5 linked regions of the Oryzias latipes genome follow. The protein of the gene in region 5 purifies or fractionates together with the protein of the main gene of each other region. This does not show direct contact. Links are inferred from orthologs where the notes say so. Each region holds a gene or a part of one and is shown on either strand. Other genes may lie near its edges.

Region 1 (3,922 bases), on a different chromosome or scaffold from region 5:
CAAGTTTCCTGCACAGGGAGAGATTTCAGACATCACTGCTTGCTTTAAAAAGGTTTTAGTCATCGTGAAACACTTAGTGATGTCGTATTCAGTTTTATGATGGTCTGTCAGCGTTTTCATCTTTGTGCGACAAAATTCACAATTCAGGAAAAAACGAAATAACACACAACGTGTCTGTCATCCGTGTGAATGTGACTTACGCAGATTTTCAAGCAGATCTTTGCAGTCGTCAGTTGCCACATCATGAATTGTGCGGTTGCACATATCCTTTCTCTCAATGTCTTGATCACTGTGGCTACACAGCACCTCCAGACAGTCCTGGACACATTACCACACAAGGTCAGAACAACTCAAGGAGAAAAATACAGCAGGTAAAAGACGAGAAACAGTGTGAAGAATAACCATCGACTGTAGATGGATATGGACTGAGTGACCCCTACCCCTGGGTTTCCAAACAGGAAGTACCTGCTGGCTTCAGGAAGCTAAAATCCCATAGACTTCTACAGAGAAATAAACAGCTGTTCCTAATTGTGTTGGTCAGACAAAACATTCTTGATCTGATACCTTTCTTAACATGTTCTTGGAAATCCTCTTTTTTTTCATGATTTTTATCTTTCATTGTAGGTTATTAAAGTTATAAAGTGACCAATCAGATGCCTAAGATGTCTCATTTAAAGTAATGTTTATGCCGTCACAATGAGAACAAAAGTCACACTTTTTAAATCAAATTTCCTAAATTTTAAACAAAATGTTCAGCTTTAAAATCAAAATTTTGTAAGAAAATTGAAATATTAAAAGTTGACTTTCAAAATAGTTCTATTTGTTTTGAAAATGCATTTGTGACACAGCTGTTGTCAGACGCCTTATGTCGAATCTCGCTCTCTCTCCATCTTTACTTTGCTTTCTCAACTCTGCATCATAAGTGTGATGTTTGTGCCACCAAACAGACAATCACAGACAAGAGGGTTCATGCTGATCGGTTTAGATTCAATCCATTCAAGTGTCTTTGCCTCGCATTAACGGTGCTTGGAGGCAGACACGGACTTTGCATCGGTTCTGTTAGCGCAGCATCTGCAGTCCTCAACCGTTCTGGCCTGTTTTTCTCTGAGTAGAACCCAGAAGGAGCAGCAAAGCCAAAGAAGTAAAAGCAAACATCCAAAACATTGCAAATCATAATAGTAAGATAACGTAATGTCCGGTCAGAAGCGACAAGAGTCAGCGACGGCCTTTCCTGGCTCGGAACTTCTGATGAAGATTTGAACGGTTGCTGTAGCCCTCAACCATGTCAGATACCACAGGGACAACTTCTCAACACACTGGTCGCTACACTAACATAAATACAGAGCAGTGCTGGATTTTTTTGGCTTTGCTGCTCCTTTTGGGTACGACTAAGACAGAAACGGGCCAGAACAGCTGAAGACCACAGAATCCTGGTGGAGAAGAACTGATACAAAGTTCTCTTTGTGCTGGAACAAATATTACTTCATGATCTCACGTCGGTGGTTCGAAAAGGAGAGATTTTGTGTAGCTTGCTTCCAGTGGTAGGACTGTGAACTTCCAACAAGCTTACTCCTGATTGGTGAGAGCGGTTGCCATAGAAGCATTGACTTCGTATCGGGTAAAAATGGCAACTGAATGGAGCATTTTCTATGGGGGACTCAGTCCAGCTCTCTTATGCAGTCAATGACAATAACAGTTACTTGTGCATCATTATAAACTTATTTTGATTGGATTTCAAATGGTTAATTTCAAGCAATCAAAGCAAGAATAATGCACAAAACAATACAATCAGCAGTTATACATTCATACAAAGACGTATCAAACGTAGGATAATTAGACATTACATCAAAGATTGCTTGAAAGGGAGTGGAAGAAAGCAAATTTATATAATCCCAACCCGTTCTACTGTAACCATTTTCATTACACGATTTATTATGATCTGGTTCATAACATTTTATCAGACATCTATGCCTTACCAATACAGTTTTAGGTCATCACGAATACTTCAGTTTCAATAAATCACATGACAAAGAGGAAGTACCATATAATTCTGTAAAATAGACAAAACTCCATTTTGGAAATCAACATAGAACATGCAGATCAGATATCTCAAATATATTCAGATTATTTTCATTAGAAAAGTCATAAATATGATTAAAAATGACATTATATCAGATAAAAATAACACTGTTTCAGAAATCTTTATAGCAAATGCAGATCAAGTATCAAAAGTTTAAAATATTTGCAGATTATCTTTTTATCAGAAAAATCATGAATCACTGTTTGGGGGAACATAGATGTACACATGTGTTTAGGTATGTTTATGCATGCAAGGCCTTCAGTTGCTTTCTTGTCATATTTTCTGAAATGTGACAAATCTTGCATTTTACCAGAAAAAAACATCTGTGAGAAGTCAGAATTCTTCAAGTGTAATATAAATAAGAGGAACCAGAATTATCTCCACAAAGGGCTTAGAAACTCTGCATCAGCGAGGGAACAGCATGCTAAATGTTTTTCTATTTTTACCTTCAGGCCCAGCACAGCAGCCATGTGTGCAGCGGTCCAGCCGTCCCTGTTGGCCTGGTTCAGCAGCGAAGCAGGAAGAGCCAGGAAATGGGGCGAGGCAGAAGGGTCGCTTGGATCTCTGTGGCAGAGGAGGAGACGCAGCACTTCTACGTGTCCGGAGCGCACGGCAGCGTGCAGGGGCGTGCAGCCATCCTTCAAACGCAAGCGACGTCAGGATTACAAGTCACTTCTTTTGAATCCAATTTAAACTAATATGTCTTCATGTTTAAACTTCTGCCTATGAGAAGCAAGAAAAAACATGTTTTTAGTTTACAATAAAGAATTATAGTGTGAAGGCTCTAAAGCCCTCACACAACTGACATCCCGTTCTTACTCCCCTACACTTGTTTGGCAGATTAACTTCTTCATTCTTTGATCTATTTAAGCCAGATTTGTACTGAAACATTCAAGCACATTCTGGAGATTTTGGAGAGTTTACACTAAGTGGATGCTCAAACTAGTTTTACACATAAAACATAGAATGCACTACCAACAAATTGTATCGAAAAGAATAAACTTTTGGAAATATTTGCCTCTGATTACTACATGTTGGCGAAATAAAAGTGTTACGATTTTTAATAAAATGTAAAAATATGCCAAAAAAAAATCTCAAACCGTTTAAAGACTTTTTCATTGATTGATTGATTGAATGAATGAGAAGTTTTAGATACTGTTAAAAAAAAACAAAGAGGAGAAAAGCTGATGACCACAGGAAGTGACATGTTTTTGATTGTCTGGATAAATAACATTTAGCAGTTGTGCTCTTAACACTGCAGTAACGTCAGAGTCAGCCTTACCGTGGTAGTCAATGAGCGGTCAGCTCCGGCGTCCAGCAAGGCTCGGGCGCAATCAAGCCATCCTGCCTCACAGGCCACAAAGAGGGAGGTCTGTCCGTCAGCAGCAACGGAGTCCACGGCAGCTCCTGCAGCCAGCAGCTCCTCCACACAGCTGGAGGGAGGGAGGGAGGAACGCCACAGGGAGGACAGCTCACTAAACCTCTCCTTTCTGGGTTTTGTGTATCTGACTGGGCTACTGTACTGCCCACATGTAACACAGAGAGAAGCAGCATGTATGCTTTGCATTTTGTGGTTGACTGCATCACGCCAGAGTGGGAAAGGACTAGCATGAACGTAAATCAAAGGTTGTATTTACTTGTTTTTGGTAAAAGGAGTCAGTTTCTTGATTGCAGTATTGGGTAAATTACTTTAAAAAAAAGTAATTGATTACTTTACTTTGGTTACTGGATGAAATTAAAATGACTTTACTCATTACTTATTTGAAAAGTAATTCACTACTCTTATTTCCACTCATATTCAAATTCTCAAGGGAAAAACAGCACAAACAAGATCTTCTCGTC
Region 2 (4,374 bases), on a different chromosome or scaffold from region 5:
TTTTGGCAGGATATACACAATGCAATATTTTGAAGTACACCTCTTTTATTTTTTTATTTAAACATTATTTATTACTAGTAGTCCAGAGAGAGTTTAAATTCTCTTCCCAAAGCTGTAATACCTCGAAATGGACATTTTTAAATATGAAGGGCCAGAACCTGAGCAACTAGTGAAAAGAGGAAAGGGCTAAGAGGACATCCCTGCCATATTCCTCTGTTTGTGTCAAATCTAGGAGTTGTGCCATGTGCAACTTTAATGGAGCTGTTGCATCCATTGTACAGACCCTCCATCACTTTTAAAAATCTTTTACCAAATCCAAATTCTTTTATAACTGGAGTCATAAAACTGTGACTAATTATGTCAAATGCCTCGTAAAAGTCAACAAATAAGATAAAACCATCATCTCTAATATGTTCATTATAATCAATCATTTCTACTATTAATCTGGGAGCCGGTTTAGCTCGTGTTTGCGGCGCCTTCTGTCCGTGAAACCAGGGTTCGACTCCAGGCTGCTCCCTGCTCCCTTCTCTACCTCTGTGCCGGTCCTAAGCCCAGTTTGAGAAGGTTGCGTCAGGAAGGGCATCCGGCATAAAAACGTTGCCAAATTTACCACGCCCTGTTTACCACGCGTTCGCTGTGGCGACCCCTGATGGGAGAAGCCGAAAGAGGAAGAAGATATCTAGTATTAATCTGATATTGTTGGCAATATTTCTACCAGGCATGAAAGCAGATCATTCTTCTTCAATAATGTTATCCAGTCCTGGTTTTAATCTTTTGGTAAAAATGAGAGCAAATATTTTAGCATCATTGTTTAACAGACTAATTGGTCTCCAGTTTTCTATGCATAATTTATCTTTTTGTGGTTTGGGGATGAGTTTGATGATGCCTTGTCTGAGAGTTGGGGGCAATATACCAATTTCTAACACTTCTTCAAATAAATTAGCTAGAAAAGAGGTTAATTTGGCAATAAAACATTTATAAAACTCACTTGTTAGTCCTTCATTTGCTGGACTTTTATTATCTTTAAGAGATTTACTACAATTTTCAACTTCCTCTGTTTTAATTTTCTGGTCACAAGACTTTTCAAAGGTTTCAATTACTTTTCCAATCTTTTCTTTAATATTGTTGATAAATAGTTCAATATCTTCTTCTCTAAAGCAAATTTTAGTGTAAGTTTCCTGATAGAATTTTGCAACATATTGAGAAACCTTTTTTGTATCTTCACTTATTGAATTACCAATTTTAATTTGACGCAGACAGGAAATTTCAAAATCTCTTTGTTCTCAGTTGAAAAAGTATTTAGTACATTTTTCACCTTGTTCTAACCATTTTCTTCTGGATCTAACAAAGGCTTCTCCTGCTTTTTCTTCATATACTTTATTCGATTCTGATTGCAAAGAAATTAGTACGTTTTGTTGTAGATTAATTCGTTTTCATTGATAATCATTATTTTTCCTTATCATTATTGTCTTTGAATGCATCATAAGAGGGGGCGGGGAAAACGCGGAAGTGACGTCATCATTGATCGCAGTGTATCGTCTGCTTGACGGATAGGTGGGGGTACTTTTAAAGCGTTTGTTTGCTGTTTTGACCGTTTTCTCCATACCGTGTGAAAACAGTGCAGGCGTTAGGCGGGAAAGTTCCCGCAAGGCTTGTGCTCGGAAGCGCCGCGGTTACGCGCCGAGCTCGAGCCAACTTAGTTGGAGGGAGTTTCGCTGGAACCGCGCTCGTGAAGCAGGGGCTCGATCGCGTCGCCCCGCGGACCTGACGCTTTCCAGTAAATGGCCTGCACTTTGGAGAAAGTGTTGGGCGACGCTCGGACCCTCCTCGAGAGGCTGAAGGAGCACGACACGGCCGCCGAGGGTCTGATCGAGCAGTCCGGGGCCCTCAGCCGCAGAGTGCAGGACATGAAGGAGGTGGGAAATGCCCTTCCGGAGAAGGTAAAGACTCGGCGGATGAGACGTTCAGGTGCTGGGCGGCCATAGCTGCTGAAAATACCAGTGGGATTTTTTAATGGATAACTTTTGCTAGTAAATAACATGTTAGTACATTTTGTTTGACAGCACTTGGAAGACAATGCAGAACTACGGGAGCTCACAAAGTACAAACCTCATGTTCTTCTGACCCAAGAAAACACTCAAATCAAGGATCTGCAGCAGGAGAACAAAGGTAGGATTCTGTTCGGGCGGTTTCCACGGTGGGTCGTGTTTGTTCTAACCCTCTGGGTGGACTTTCTCCTCAGAATTATGGCTGTCTCTTGAAGAACACCAGTACGCTCTGGAACTCATCATGGGTCGGTACCGCAAGCAGATGCTGCAGCTGATGATGGCAAAGAAGGAGCTGGACACCAAACCGGTTCTGAGCCTCCACCAGGATTACGCCAAAGTACAGCGTCTTTCACACCATCTTTGTGCAGCGTGACATCGTCTCTTTGAGGGCCGGCTTTGGGAGAAAACTCGTGGCGTTTTTACTTGTCTCTACAGGAAGTGCAGAACAAGGTGGAGCAGATATGCGAGATGGGTCAGGTGATGAGAAGAGCCGTTCAGGTGGACGATCAGCACTACTGCTCCGTTCGAGAGAGGCTGGCTCAGCTGGAGGTGAGTACCGACGATCGAGCCTCTTTCCCCAAGAGGTCAGAGGTCATTTCTTCCCCCTAAAGCAGTATTAAAAGCAGCAGAGGGGACGGAGGAGGGCCCACGAAAACCTTCACAACAGCAGACGTTTGTCACAAGAACCAAAGATCTGAGAAGGAACTCCTTTTGTTTTGGTCCATCCATCCATTTCACCTCCAGATCTGACTTCACTGCGTCACTTAAAACTTACAGAAACCTTTTTTTTTCTCTTAAAAACTTCCAGAGATAAAGTTGTAGCCTGAAGGTTTTGAACGAAATGTCTTTTTCTAAAAAACAGGAAGCTGTCCAGTAAAACATTCTAAAGATCACATATTTGTTTGATTCTTGCAGCTTTATTGCATAAATGTTCTTTTTTCCTATAAAATCATTTTATATACATTAAAAAAACTAAGAATGATGAAAACTGCTGTGTTTAGGCAACTCAGTCCCAGGTTGGCGTTTTTAACAAGACTTTGGTTTTTTTCAAATGTTCTATGTAAAATACTTTAATACAGAGAATGTAGGCATTTGTCTTTATTTCATACTCTTCTTTTATCTAGAACAACAAACAATATAGGCAGTACAACATTTTAATTGTGAAAGACGTGTAAATCTTATCACATGTACACATTTAAATCTTTTGTTTTAGTGAAGAAGAAAAGTAGTAGATGGAGTCCGTTGGGAGGAAAGTATTCAGTCTCTTGGTTTTTTTCTCTCTTTCAGATTGAGAACAAGGAGCTTCAGGACCTTTTGGTCATCAGCAAAGAAAGCATCAAAATGTCAAAAAAAGAAGAACCCCACCAGCCTGAAGCAGCAGAACCGACTTCATGAGCTCCATCGAGCTCTGCGTGTGAATTTATTCCCTCAAATGGATTTATTTATAGAAAGTCATACGGCATCTTTAATACAAAAAAAAGATCTATCATCTTGTCTGCAGCTAAGATAATAATTAAAGTGTTACTGTGGACGGCATTCAATTAGCTGTTCTTTGAGGTGTATTTATTAGATTCTAACACGTGCTGTCAAAGTAGATTTAAAGTATTTTTTTGCCAAAGATATATATTTAATCGTCATAGTTTTTTTGGACCCCTGATGTTCACACAATCTCTACTGCCTCCTATTAAAGCCAAGCACCGCTCTGTTTCACAACAGAGAGGACCTTTGGGGAAAACAAGCAGTTTATTCTGATTATATTTACCTGTTTGTTTGAATGAACAGAAGTTTGGTTTGTGCTGTTGCATTTTGTGCAGTAGGTGTTTTTTAATTTTTTTGTATGAATGAAAAACGTTCTGTTTTCATCTCAGGAATTCAGTTTAACTTCATGGTTTGGTGTAAAACAAAATCAAACGATAATAATAAAAGAAGTGTTTTTCCAAGGCATTTGAGGTGTTGTCCCTTCTTCGAACGCAGGGCGGCAGCATCGAGTCAACTTACTAAAAACCTATCGCGAGATCGGAAAAAGTACAGCGCAAACGCTTTTAGGCTATTAAAAACCTATCAAATCACCTTTTCACGCAACTTTCATAATTTCCATTAGTTTGGTTGTAACAATATTTGTCACATTTAAGTGACATTTTAAAAAGACAATCGTCAGAAAGCTCGGATTTCCCACAGAACCTAAACGCCGCATGAGCCCTATATTTGACAGTTGTCGTTTTAAGCTAACGGATCCAGAATGTCTGAAAGGGAACTGGGGAGGAAGCTGGACCGATGCCTGGCAGATGGTGTCATTAAACTGGGTAAATAGAGTCGTGTTTGTCCG
Region 3 (3,502 bases), on a different chromosome or scaffold from region 5:
CTGTGGAACTTTTTGACAATAAACTGGAGATATTTTTAAAAGTGACTTTTTTCCACTTCTGTGCACCTTTCATGCAAATAACCGACCTCAGGGACTTTGTGTTTGGGTCCTCATAACTACATCTACAGAAGAAGAATTTAGTTCACTTTGAATGAAAGACAACAAAGCTGCAATAAAATGAAAGTGCTTGGAGTCCACGTTCAAAGGGATGTTCCTCTTTTCACGAGTCCTAAACTGTCAGGTATCATTTACTTCATTAAAAGTAAAGATGACACGAGGAAGCGAGAGGCAACAGTTTGACTCTTTTCTCACAGCTTCTCTGTTCGGTGTGTGCCTCAGAGCAGGTTGATCTTCAGATGCTGTCTACAGTTTTCAGGTATGAAGCAGAGAGTCCACAATAATTCTATCTGCAGTGACTTCAGATCAAGCAACTCCCCCGCCGTGGTTTGCCACCAAACTTCCACATCACTCTCTTTTCTTCTTTTTGAACCATTCCAGGGGTCTGCTCAGACACAGCAATCCGGGCCCGTTTTGGTGACGCCTACGTGTTTGCTACCTGAATATTTCTGCATTTCAGCGTCTGTGAGCTGAATGCTGCCAGCAGCAGTGAAACAGCATGTTGGGTCACGCCTGCTGTGGTGGATTTCTCTTCCTGTTTTTGGAGCAGATGTGGGCGATAAACATCAATAACACAAGCACTGGAAAGAGAGAGGCAGTTCACCAGAATCAGAACACTGTGAGTCTGTGAGGACGTTCAAAACTCAATCCAAACCACCTGATAATCATTTATTTCATTTCAAGCAACACCTCTCTTCTTCCCGGGTTAGGAGGTACACAGGCACCACAGGCTCATACATGCTGTAACAAAGACATGACGCAATGCATTCTGGGCCGCTGGCTGCTTTGGCAGTAGTGTGGCGGGGTGGGAGCGGACACTAAGTCTTTCGTAGGCTGACGTCGGTGCTGCTCAGCAGCGGCGACAGCGACGTGTTCTCCGACGGCTCCTCCCTCTTCAGGATGAGGAAGGCCTCACGGCTGATCCCCAGCAGCTCTCGGAGGCCACAGTTCTCCATCTGGAACGCACAAACACAACCCACCTCTAAAGTCTCTGAACGGCTACGGCAGACAGAGAGGAGCAAGATTCACACATATGCTTTAAAAAACGTGTTCAATATCAACAGTTTGTCCGATCATGTATAAGCAATCAAATTAAGCCTCCCACAGTGAATTAGGCTCGACATCAACAATTCATTGTCTTTTCCCAAAGCTGACAGTGTTGGGTTCACTTTTAGAACCACTTTTTTATGTTCTATGTCAACGACACGGTCAAAATGTCTCAACAGCTAACTTGCACTTTTATGCTGATGACACGATTATTTCTTGTTGCGGATCATCTCTCTTTTGAGGTCATAAAAATTAGGGATGGGCGATATAATTTTTTTTACGTCCGATACCGATAACCCGTATTTCCCCTACAACTGTGTGGCTGATAGCCGATATTTGCCGATACCGATACTTAAGTGTCCACAGGTGTGGCTCTCAAACTGTGGAGCGCACCTCCATGGGGGGGGTGCGAGTCACTGGGTGGGACAAGGCTGGGAAGTGGGGAGGACGACTAATGTTTGGACATCGGAATTTTTTTCGCAGCGGAACACAAACAAACCGCGGTTCGGGACTGCATATCCGCGGGTGTCACGTCACTTACATCGAGCTGATCCTAACCGTGACATTTGAAGACGTAATTATGGTTGTCAACTGCGGTTTAACATCTTAAAATAACGCTAATGCCGCCTGGACGTTGACGCATTTAGCACATGCGACCGGTACAGATTGGAAACTGTGATTTGTTGAAGAATGGAGAAAAGCATGTATAATGGCTAATGCCTCCGCGCCCCCCAAGGGAGGCGTGTCCTACAGTTTGAGAACATACAAAATCAATGATCCTTTATTTAATTTATTAAGGATCATTCACTTGTACACGTCTTCCCTGCGAGGATTCTTTCTCAAATGTTTCTTAGACAACAGTTCTCAATACGACTGGCTGATAGATCCAGCTGCTGATGCGAGCTCTGCTGAGGAGGATCAGTCCATTGAAATCCCGTCAGACTCCACCCTGAAGATGAGGTTTACAGCACAGACACCCCCTGAATCCTGCTGGGTGTAGAGAGAGGGAGCATTCACTCAAAGGGCAAAAGGCTGGGGGCATTCTGCTTCCATTTTACGTTCCATTTTCTGCTGTTACCACTTTGAAAACAAAGCACAGAGCTAGGCTCAATAATGAGCAGGACTTGAGAGTTGCTGCAGTAACAAACCTGCAACCTTGTTTTGAAAAGATGTGTAGCACGAAGCAGGCACATTGCAGCCATTTACACAACTTTGTGTTTCTTTTTGCACATAGGTTCAAATGTTATTAAAAAACAGTCAGGAGATCATGGTAGATTTTGAATATCTGAAATGCAAATTATGCAAATATTGTGCAATACAGATACAGGAACCAATTTATCGCCCATCCCTAACAGGAACCCTGATGGAAACTTTTGAACGTGCAACTCCTGCGGCCTGGAAAATCTGACAAAAAAGTTGGAGACTAATTGAACTACCATTAAATGTCTTTAAGGCCAAACCAACAGAGAATTGCACAGATTACTGTGACCGTCTTGATCACAGTTTTCACTCATTTATAATTCAGTTTTATCTGTCATTTTTTACATTTTTTAAGCATTTTTTCTAGTGGTGTCAAATTATTATGTTAATTGCGATTAATAAATTACAAACTTTCTTGCCTTTTTTATTTGTCTCTATTTTTATCGGGTTAATCTTTTTTTTTTTTTTTTTTTTTTTTTTGCGTTGGATGGTTACTTCCTTAAAGTCTGGCCATGCCTGAAAATGTACACCTTGAAGAGCATTGTCCCGCTTATACCATGCTCACTCACAAAAACATAAAGATTAAGTATCAGAACTTCAATCATGTCATATTTTAAAGTTTAAATTGTTTTTAACGAAAAGAGGAACAAAGCATCATTTCAGAGGGAAAGCTCACCTCTAAATGTTGGATTTTGTTCAGATGAAGCTAAACTTTAAAGGTTGTCTTCTCTCTTTGTCTTCAAAATGATCAAATTCCTCAAACAGGTCAAAGGAAACTATCAAATCCCACCAGGGCTCCAGACTGCGACCAAAATTTGAGAGTGTGCGACTGAATTTTACATCCAGTCGCACATGTGCTACCAGTAAATTTGCCTCCCCCACCCTCCGTATTTTTTTATACATTAAACGTGGAAGGGGCACGTCAATGATCAATGAAATAATCAATGATACGCGAGCGCACACGCACGCAGGCAGACACACACACTCGTGCACATATTCATGAAACGCAAGCACACACTCGCGTGATGCCTGTCTGTGAGGCGGCGAATGCGTGTTAGAAGAATAGGGAAAGCCACTGTGAGTGGCTAAAATGCGTGTAGGGGAGGGGCCTAGAGATAATCGCGCGCGCGTAAACATC
Region 4 (3,922 bases), on a different chromosome or scaffold from region 5:
CCGAGAGCAGATGCTGGAGCAGAAGTTAGCCACGCTGCAGCGTCTGTTAGCCAACACCCAGGAGGCCTCCGAGAGCAGCTGGCAGGTAGGAGACCTCGTCTTCTGTTGTCCTGAACATTTGTAGACCTGCGCTGAGGGGTTCACTGCAGATGTTAGCAGGAGATAACGGTGGCCATGGGGCTTATACTCATGGAGAAACTGAAGCTTTGGATAGAATTTGAAGATCTGAATTATGACTAACGTGACTCTGGTCTCCTTCAGGCTCTGATAGATGAGGACCGTCTGCTTTCCAGACTGGAGGTGATGGGGAGTCAGCTACAGGCCTACTCCAAGGTAAAGTCACCTTCTCAGGTTCTCCTCTGTAAAAAGGTGAGGCACAGAAGTTCTCATTCATGTCTGGAACTCCTGCAGTCCCAGACGGAGGAGGGGATGCGGAAAGAGCTTTTGGCTCTTCAGGAGGACAAACACAACTATGAGACGACGGCCAAGGAGTCTCTGAGGAGAGTCCTGCAGGAGAAGATCGAGGTGGTCAGGAAGCTCTCCGAAGTGGAGGTGGGACCCTTTGAGGAGTTGTTTGTCCCTTCAGGCTGATGGATTCAGTACCGGTGAACCCAACGCGTGATCTCCTCTGCAGCGCTCGCTCAGCAACACGGAAGATGAGTGCACCCACCTGAAGGAGATGTCTGAGAGGGGTCAGGAGGAGCTGAGGGAGCTCGCCAATAAGTACAACGCCGCTGTCAACGAAATAAAAGAGCTCACCGACAAAATCAAGGTGAGGCCTTGTGCGTTTACTCTGAAAGGTTCGATTCCCGCCCCTCTACATTTGTGCAGTAACACCCGATCGTCTTCTTTCCTTTAGGTGGCGGAGGGCCGGCAGGAGGAGCTGACCCAACGAGGAGAGACGGAGAAGAGGGAGCTGGAAATGAAGATAGAGGAGATGGAGGAGAAGGAGCAGGTTCTCCAGGCTCGCATCGAAGCTCTGCAGGCAGACAACGACTTCACCAACGAGAGACTTGCTGCTCTTCAGGGTACGTCTGGGTCACGTCTAAACGCCGTTTGCTCCCTGAAGCCTTCCACTGCTGCTTCATTGCATATAAACGGAGGACCGAGCCGACGCCTTTGTTCGGTTCCACCTCAGCTGTCGGTTCCTCGCAGAAGGCCGACTGGAGCTGCTGCAGGTCCAGCTGAACGTTCTCTTTCTGCTGTTGTTGTTGTTGTTGTTTACAGCGCGGTTAGAGCAGCTGCAGGAGAAAAGCGGTAAAGAAAACAACAGTCTGGGTGAGTCCACGTCCCGCTGGTCCGCTCTGGGACTGCTGTGTCTGTGGGGTTAATCAGCCTGAGCTGCACTAACGATGCATGAAACGTCCTGCATGGTCTGTCTGTGCACTTCCTGCTGTCGCTCTTTTCTCCTCGTTGAGTTTTTTTTATGATCTTTCAGTGGTTGACTCATTCACACAACATTGTATTGTTGTCCATAAACGCAAAAAGATTTTTTTCCATTTTAATTACCTAATTAACTTGTAGTTTAAGGCGGAAATGTCACACAATGTGAATCCAGCTGAGGGAAAGTTTATCTATTTCCTCCTGAATGACCTGCATCAGAAATACCTGCACTAGAGCTGCTGCTGACGGTGAAGCGACCCAACAGTTTCCACTCTATATTATCTAATTTAGATGTTTTATGTACTTAGTTTAATTCATTTAATCGTTGGTCTATTAGCGTTACACTTAAACCTCCTGTTGTGACAAACTGATGTTTGTTTCTGTCTCAATTACAAAGGCAGTAACTGAACCATTGTATTTTATAAAATGCTGACGTCACCTTAAATATGACAAACTGGAATAGATTCAAAGTGTAACAATTGTTTGTTTTTCCTTTCAAAATGGGTCAATTTACCCAAAGCATAAGAGATTTTATAGTTTTCTCTTTAACTTTGTTCTTCTGGCTCTGGGTGTTGTGACAGAAGTCTTAAAGCAATAAAGTCCATAAAAACATCAAAAATCCTTTAATTTTACATTTAAAAGAGTAAAAATGTCCTCTGTGCTCCAGAAAAACGGACGTAAACACAGAAAATGATCACTCCTGAGGTGGATTTCATTCCTTCATGAGTTCCTGCTTCGTGTTCCTGTCTGTTAGAATGACTGTGGGTTCTCTGTGGAACGCCCAGTCGCATCGCTATGCGCTATGCTAGGATGCTAGGATGCTAGCTGCAGGTCCTGGTTCTGACCTGGACCCGTCTGGTTTCATAAGGAGCTGGTGTGTTTTTCTGGGCTTTGTTCTGGCGGTTCTGTCAGGTGAATTTTGGGCTTCTTGGTTAATTCAGAGCTTTTCCAAACCGATCACTGCTTTGGTTCCTTTTTCCGGGGGGAGGAGCTTGAGGACACTGATTTCTGCACTAAAGGAGTCCTGAAGGTCTCGCTCTTCTTCATCAACGGGCTTCACAGTCTGTCTTCTGCATGTCTGGCTGATGAAGGTTCCATGTGTATATCTGATCTGGTCACATGACAGAGGTGGCCCTCGTCCCTCCCGGAGCTGCAGGGGAGCCCGTGGAAGACCTAGCGGACGAAGACCACGATGAGCCGGATACAGACACCGAGGAGGGGGCAGTTCACGAAGATGAAGATGTTATTGGTAGTCTATCTCAACTGTTTCCTTAATTTCTTCTTCCCAAAGACAGACGATCAAATGTTTGTTCGATGCAGAGCTGAAACCTCAGAACGCGTCTGGCCTGAGACCAGGTCTTCCTCGATCAGGACATGTGCAAGAACTGAAATGCTGGATCCAGATCCATCTGGGAGCCACTTTTCTGGTCCGTCTGAGGAGCACGTCTCCAGATAACTGGTCTGCAGCGCTGTGGCCTGCTTCACGCATCAGTGTCCCACGTTCTGAGCTGTCTCTGGTGAAATGAGACGTAAACGCAGCGTCTCGACTGGAAACTCTGTGTGTGTGTGGCTGAACCTGCTTTCAGCCGCCTCACACACTCGCGATGCGGTCTGCGCCGCTGCAGCCGCTGCAGTCTCCTCACATGCGTCCTGGAGGAGAGTTCACTGATGTTTCTTCAGGTTCAAACCAATGTTGGAAAGGGAGAGCGGGTTTGTAGATGTTTCTCTACACCATGAACCGACCTCTGACCCGAGAAGGTTTGGTGTCTTCTCTCCGCCGCTGTCGAGTCTCATCCGTCTGTTGTTGATCTTTAGATCAGCTTGAATGAAACCTCGTAATTGTCCTTCGTCCGATGCTGGTTTAAAACTTTGTGCTGCGGCATCTTTGAAGGTTTGGTCCAAAATCTTTACAAATGTGGATCGCTCGTTTTCTGAGCATCATCTGCTGCAGTTTGTTGTTCGGTCAGTTTCCATCTCAAGGTTTAGGAGAACACCAACGGCTCCTTCAGCTCCTGGGTTTTTCCATTTCAGCTTTCACATCAATCTAGTCCTGCTTTGGAATGAAGTCCATGTTGGGTCTCAGTTTCTTCTCGGGTTAGGAGCTTTACTCTCTCACAGTTGTCATTTCTAACCCGTTTTATTGTGCCGTCTGCAACATCATCTTCCCGTCAGCATCTTCCGTTCACTCATTGGGTGCAGCAGCTCTGAGATCTGGTGCAGTTTGAGTTTCCTTCGGCTCTGATGTTGTTCCGTCTCCATCTTGCTGCTGTTTCTCACCTGCTGATGCTTGGTGGGGTGTTGCATAGCAGCGTGTTTGACTCCATCCTTCACCTGTCCTGTTGTTCTGGTCTGTGACACGTCTGCCTGCTTCCTCTGTGTCCGTCTCAGGCCTTCCCTGCCGTCTTCTTACCGGACGTTAAGTTAGGAGCAAACGCAGCTTTTTGATTCTGCTGATCCAAATCAAGGAAACCTGGTTTGTCTGCTTGATTTATGGACGTCCAGCTTTAAGCTTCACCACATTGGAAGGAACCAGAGGAGG
Region 5 (2,928 bases):
TATCATGGAGTATTTAGGTGGAGGATCTGCTCTGGATCTGGTAAGAAGATTTCCATTTTTATGGAGATTACAAATTACACAAGACGCCGCCTTGCTTACTTTTAGAGCCTGCCGGTTCTCTCGCCCTACTTCTGATGTCTTGGTTTACCCGCCGTCATCGTAGCTCCGCCCAGGACCTCTGGAGGAGACGTACATCGCTACCATACTGCGGGAAATCCTGAAGGGGCTGGAGTATCTGCACTCCGAGAGGAAGATTCACAGAGACATCAAAGGTAAAACGGAAGACCACTTAGAGAATCTTCACCCAGGAAACTTGTCAGGAGGGGAAATGGACTCACCCAATGTGTGTGCTGGTTCTGGATTTGTAACCCATCCATTTTGTCTTTAACTGAGGGTACTTGCTGTTGTAAACGAATATCAAAAACGTTCAAATCCAAAATACAGTTTACGCAGGCACAGCTTGAAATGACATCAACTTCAGACTAAGTACAAATTCAAAAAGTCTCCCAAACATAAAAAAACCCTTAAATGGTACGCTCCAATCGCTTGATACACACACTCAAAACCACACCTACACACAGATCAGAGTCACAAGAACACCAGGATGGATGGATGGATGGATGGATCTTTATTTGTCAAAGTCATACATACAATGAAATTAAAAGTGCCTTCTGGTCAGTGCAACATTCATCCATTAAAAAAAAATGTAAACAACTTACTACTAAAATAATACATAAAACTACATAAAAACCTCTGGCACCACCCCCTCTGACACCGCCCCCTCTGACAGCTCCGCCCTCTGGCACCGCCCCCTCTCGCTGTGCCAGAATGATTGAAAGTTTGAGGGGGAAAAATGGAAGATTTGAAACTCGAATAAAAAAACTTTTAATTATTACCAAATGAAAAATATTCTTTATAAAGTTTGTAGTTCCAGTTTAGAGCTGAAAGCACCAGAAGCGCTTTCAGCTGATGGGAATCATGTCACGACAGCCAATGAGCTTCCTTAACTCAGGTTCAGCAGAAAAGACTGAACGTCTGAATTCAAACTCTAAACGTAAAACGGAAATTAAAGAATAAAAAAAGAAAACAAAAACAACAGCAGCTGTTATGAATAAACAATATTTTTCATTTAGTAACAGTTTAAGCTTTAAAGTTTTGTTTTTTAAATTGAAGGTTCAAAATTAAAAAAAAACATTTCTTTTCAAATGTTCAATATTTTTAGACTTGAATCATGCTTAAGCCTGTTTTGAAGTGTTGACTTTTTGTCTTCCAATTGATGTGACCCTCTAGTTGTGCCTCTTTAGCCGTCCTGACCCGAGGCTGCAGGTCTTTCTAGCTAGTTAGTGGACACGGCAGTGACTGACGTCTGTCTCCTAGCTGCCAACGTGCTCCTGTCAGAGCAAGGCGACGTGAAGCTGGCAGACTTCGGCGTGGCGGGACAGCTGACGGACACGCAGATCAAGAGGAACACGTTTGTGGGCACGCCGTTCTGGATGGCTCCAGAGGTCATCAAGCAGTCGGCCTACGACTTTAAGGTGAGGGAAGTCTGTTCCAGAGCTGAAGAGCGTCTGTGGTGCTGACCTGTCTGGGAGGGGGCGCAGGAATGCTGAGCTTTTGAAACAGCCATTGAATTCATTTCTGTTTGGAAAAGCTTCATTTGGTTCACCTTTCCTTACACTCAGGCGGACATCTGGTCTCTGGGAATCACTGCCATCGAGTTGGCCAAGGGGGAACCCCCCAACTCTGACCTACATCCCATGAGGGTCCTGTTCCTCATCCCTAAAAACACTCCTCCCACGTTGGAAGGGCCGTACAGCAAACCGTTTAAAGAGTTTGTGGAGGCCTGTTTAAACAAGGATCCCCGTTTTGTGAGTGAAGCTGCATTTTCACCTCCAACCTTCTGTCATGTGATGGCGCTCTAGTGAAACCTTGTTTGTTGTTTTAAACCATCAGCAGAAAAAACGGATCATTTATGTATGAATCCAAGTCATGTAGGAGGAAAAGAGAGACATTTGGTAAATGAGGGAGAATGGCCTTCAAGTGTGCATAATCTGAATTTAACGCACGCCGAGGAAGTCTGGACAGTAAAGTGTGTCGCTTATACCTTGGTCACTTTCAAAAGAAATAAATATTCAACCAGTTTTTAGTCCTTTAATCTTGTTATTTTTTCAGTCTAGATCACTTTTTTTCACAAAAAGCGGACTATTTGTTAGGTGGTGCGGCGGGTCGTCATGGTAACATGACGGCACCAACCTCGACTGCAGCCGCAAAGGAAAGTGATAAATATGCTGATCGTCACGATGGGTTGAATAAAGCATCAGTTCAGAGAGAAAGTTCACCTCTTACCGCTTGTTTTTGTCCAAATGATGAAGATGAAGGTTGTTTTAAAGCCAGCGCAGTGATACAGAACATCTAAGCTTTGTGACCGGAACTTCTTTTTTAGGCGTACATTAACAGTTTTTAATGCACACCCAGCAGCCAATCAGAATCGAGGATTCACCCGGACCGTGGTATAACTCCTCATGAGGACCATGCGCGTCTGATCTTAAGGAAAACCCAGCTGCAGGGTTCTTGTGTGCTGACCCGGTTCTGTCGGTGTTCTGGCTCTTCACAGAGGCCCACCGCGAAGGAGCTGCTGAAGCACAAGTTCATCACTCGCTACACCAAGAAGACGGCTTATCTGACGGAGCTGATAGACCGGTACCGCCGCTGGAAGTCGGAGGGACACGGAGAGGAGTCCAGCTCAGACGACTCGGACATGTCCGTTTCAAATTTCTCTCTTCATCAGCAGCATGGCAGAGCGTGCAGATGCTCCGGCGCTGAACCAAAGAGGGTTCTGCTGCATGTGCACGATTGCTTCCCTGAGTGACAACAGAGCTGGGATTTCTGTGTCTGGAGTCTTCACGTCTCCTCCTTAAACACCCCTCT

Evidence for each region.
Region 1: the proteins of stk25 (region 5) and cttnbp2 purify together in Homo sapiens (affinity purification with mass spectrometry; 3 studies listed by BioGRID and IntAct, with this or other methods). This does not show direct contact. The link is inferred for Oryzias latipes from reciprocal best matches to the Homo sapiens genes STK25 and CTTNBP2.
Region 2: the proteins of stk25 (region 5) and sike1 purify together in Homo sapiens (affinity purification with mass spectrometry; 4 studies listed by BioGRID and IntAct, with this or other methods). This does not show direct contact. The link is inferred for Oryzias latipes from reciprocal best matches to the Homo sapiens genes STK25 and SIKE1.
Region 3: the proteins of stk25 (region 5) and fgfr1op2 purify together in Homo sapiens (affinity purification with mass spectrometry; 5 studies listed by BioGRID and IntAct, with this or other methods). This does not show direct contact. The link is inferred for Oryzias latipes from reciprocal best matches to the Homo sapiens genes STK25 and FGFR1OP2.
Region 4: the proteins of stk25 (region 5) and slmap purify together in Homo sapiens (affinity purification with mass spectrometry; 5 studies listed by BioGRID and IntAct, with this or other methods). This does not show direct contact. The link is inferred for Oryzias latipes from reciprocal best matches to the Homo sapiens genes STK25 and SLMAP.

What each region holds. Positions count from the first base shown.
Region 1 is NC_019864.2:3,391,491-3,395,412, forward strand, and holds part of cttnbp2 (cortactin-binding protein 2), read right to left. Parts: intron 3,514-3,922; coding exon 3,363-3,513; intron 2,719-3,362; coding exon 2,527-2,718; intron 319-2,526; coding exon 201-318; intron 1-200. UniProt on the Homo sapiens protein: Regulates the dendritic spine distribution of CTTN/cortactin in hippocampal neurons, and thus controls dendritic spinogenesis and dendritic spine maintenance.
Region 2 is NC_019865.2:1,582,070-1,586,443, forward strand, and holds the start of sike1 (suppressor of IKBKE 1), read left to right. Parts: upstream 1-1,510; 5' UTR 1,511-1,781; coding exon 1,782-1,940; intron 1,941-2,063; coding exon 2,064-2,169; intron 2,170-2,242; coding exon 2,243-2,385; intron 2,386-2,483; coding exon 2,484-2,597; intron 2,598-3,335; coding exon 3,336-3,443; 3' UTR 3,444-4,351; intron 4,352-4,374.
Region 3 is NC_019881.2:3,917,698-3,921,199, reverse strand, and holds the end of fgfr1op2 (FGFR1 oncogene partner 2), read right to left. Parts: intron 1,074-3,502; coding exon 936-1,073; 3' UTR 767-935; downstream 1-766. UniProt on the Homo sapiens protein: May be involved in wound healing pathway.
Region 4 is NC_019863.2:32,508,739-32,512,660, reverse strand, and holds part of slmap (sarcolemmal membrane-associated protein), read left to right. Parts: coding exon 1-85; intron 86-261; coding exon 262-333; intron 334-411; coding exon 412-552; intron 553-634; coding exon 635-772; intron 773-859; coding exon 860-1,028; intron 1,029-1,227; coding exon 1,228-1,278; intron 1,279-2,509; coding exon 2,510-2,632; intron 2,633-3,922. UniProt on the Homo sapiens protein: Associates with the striatin-interacting phosphatase and kinase (STRIPAK) core complex, forming the extended (SIKE1:SLMAP)STRIPAK complex.
Region 5 is NC_019875.2:5,718,076-5,721,003, forward strand, and holds part of stk25 (serine/threonine-protein kinase 25), read left to right. Parts: coding exon 1-40; intron 41-163; coding exon 164-272; intron 273-1,377; coding exon 1,378-1,535; intron 1,536-1,682; coding exon 1,683-1,868; intron 1,869-2,614; coding exon 2,615-2,760; intron 2,761-2,928. UniProt on the Homo sapiens protein: Oxidant stress-activated serine/threonine kinase that may play a role in the response to environmental stress.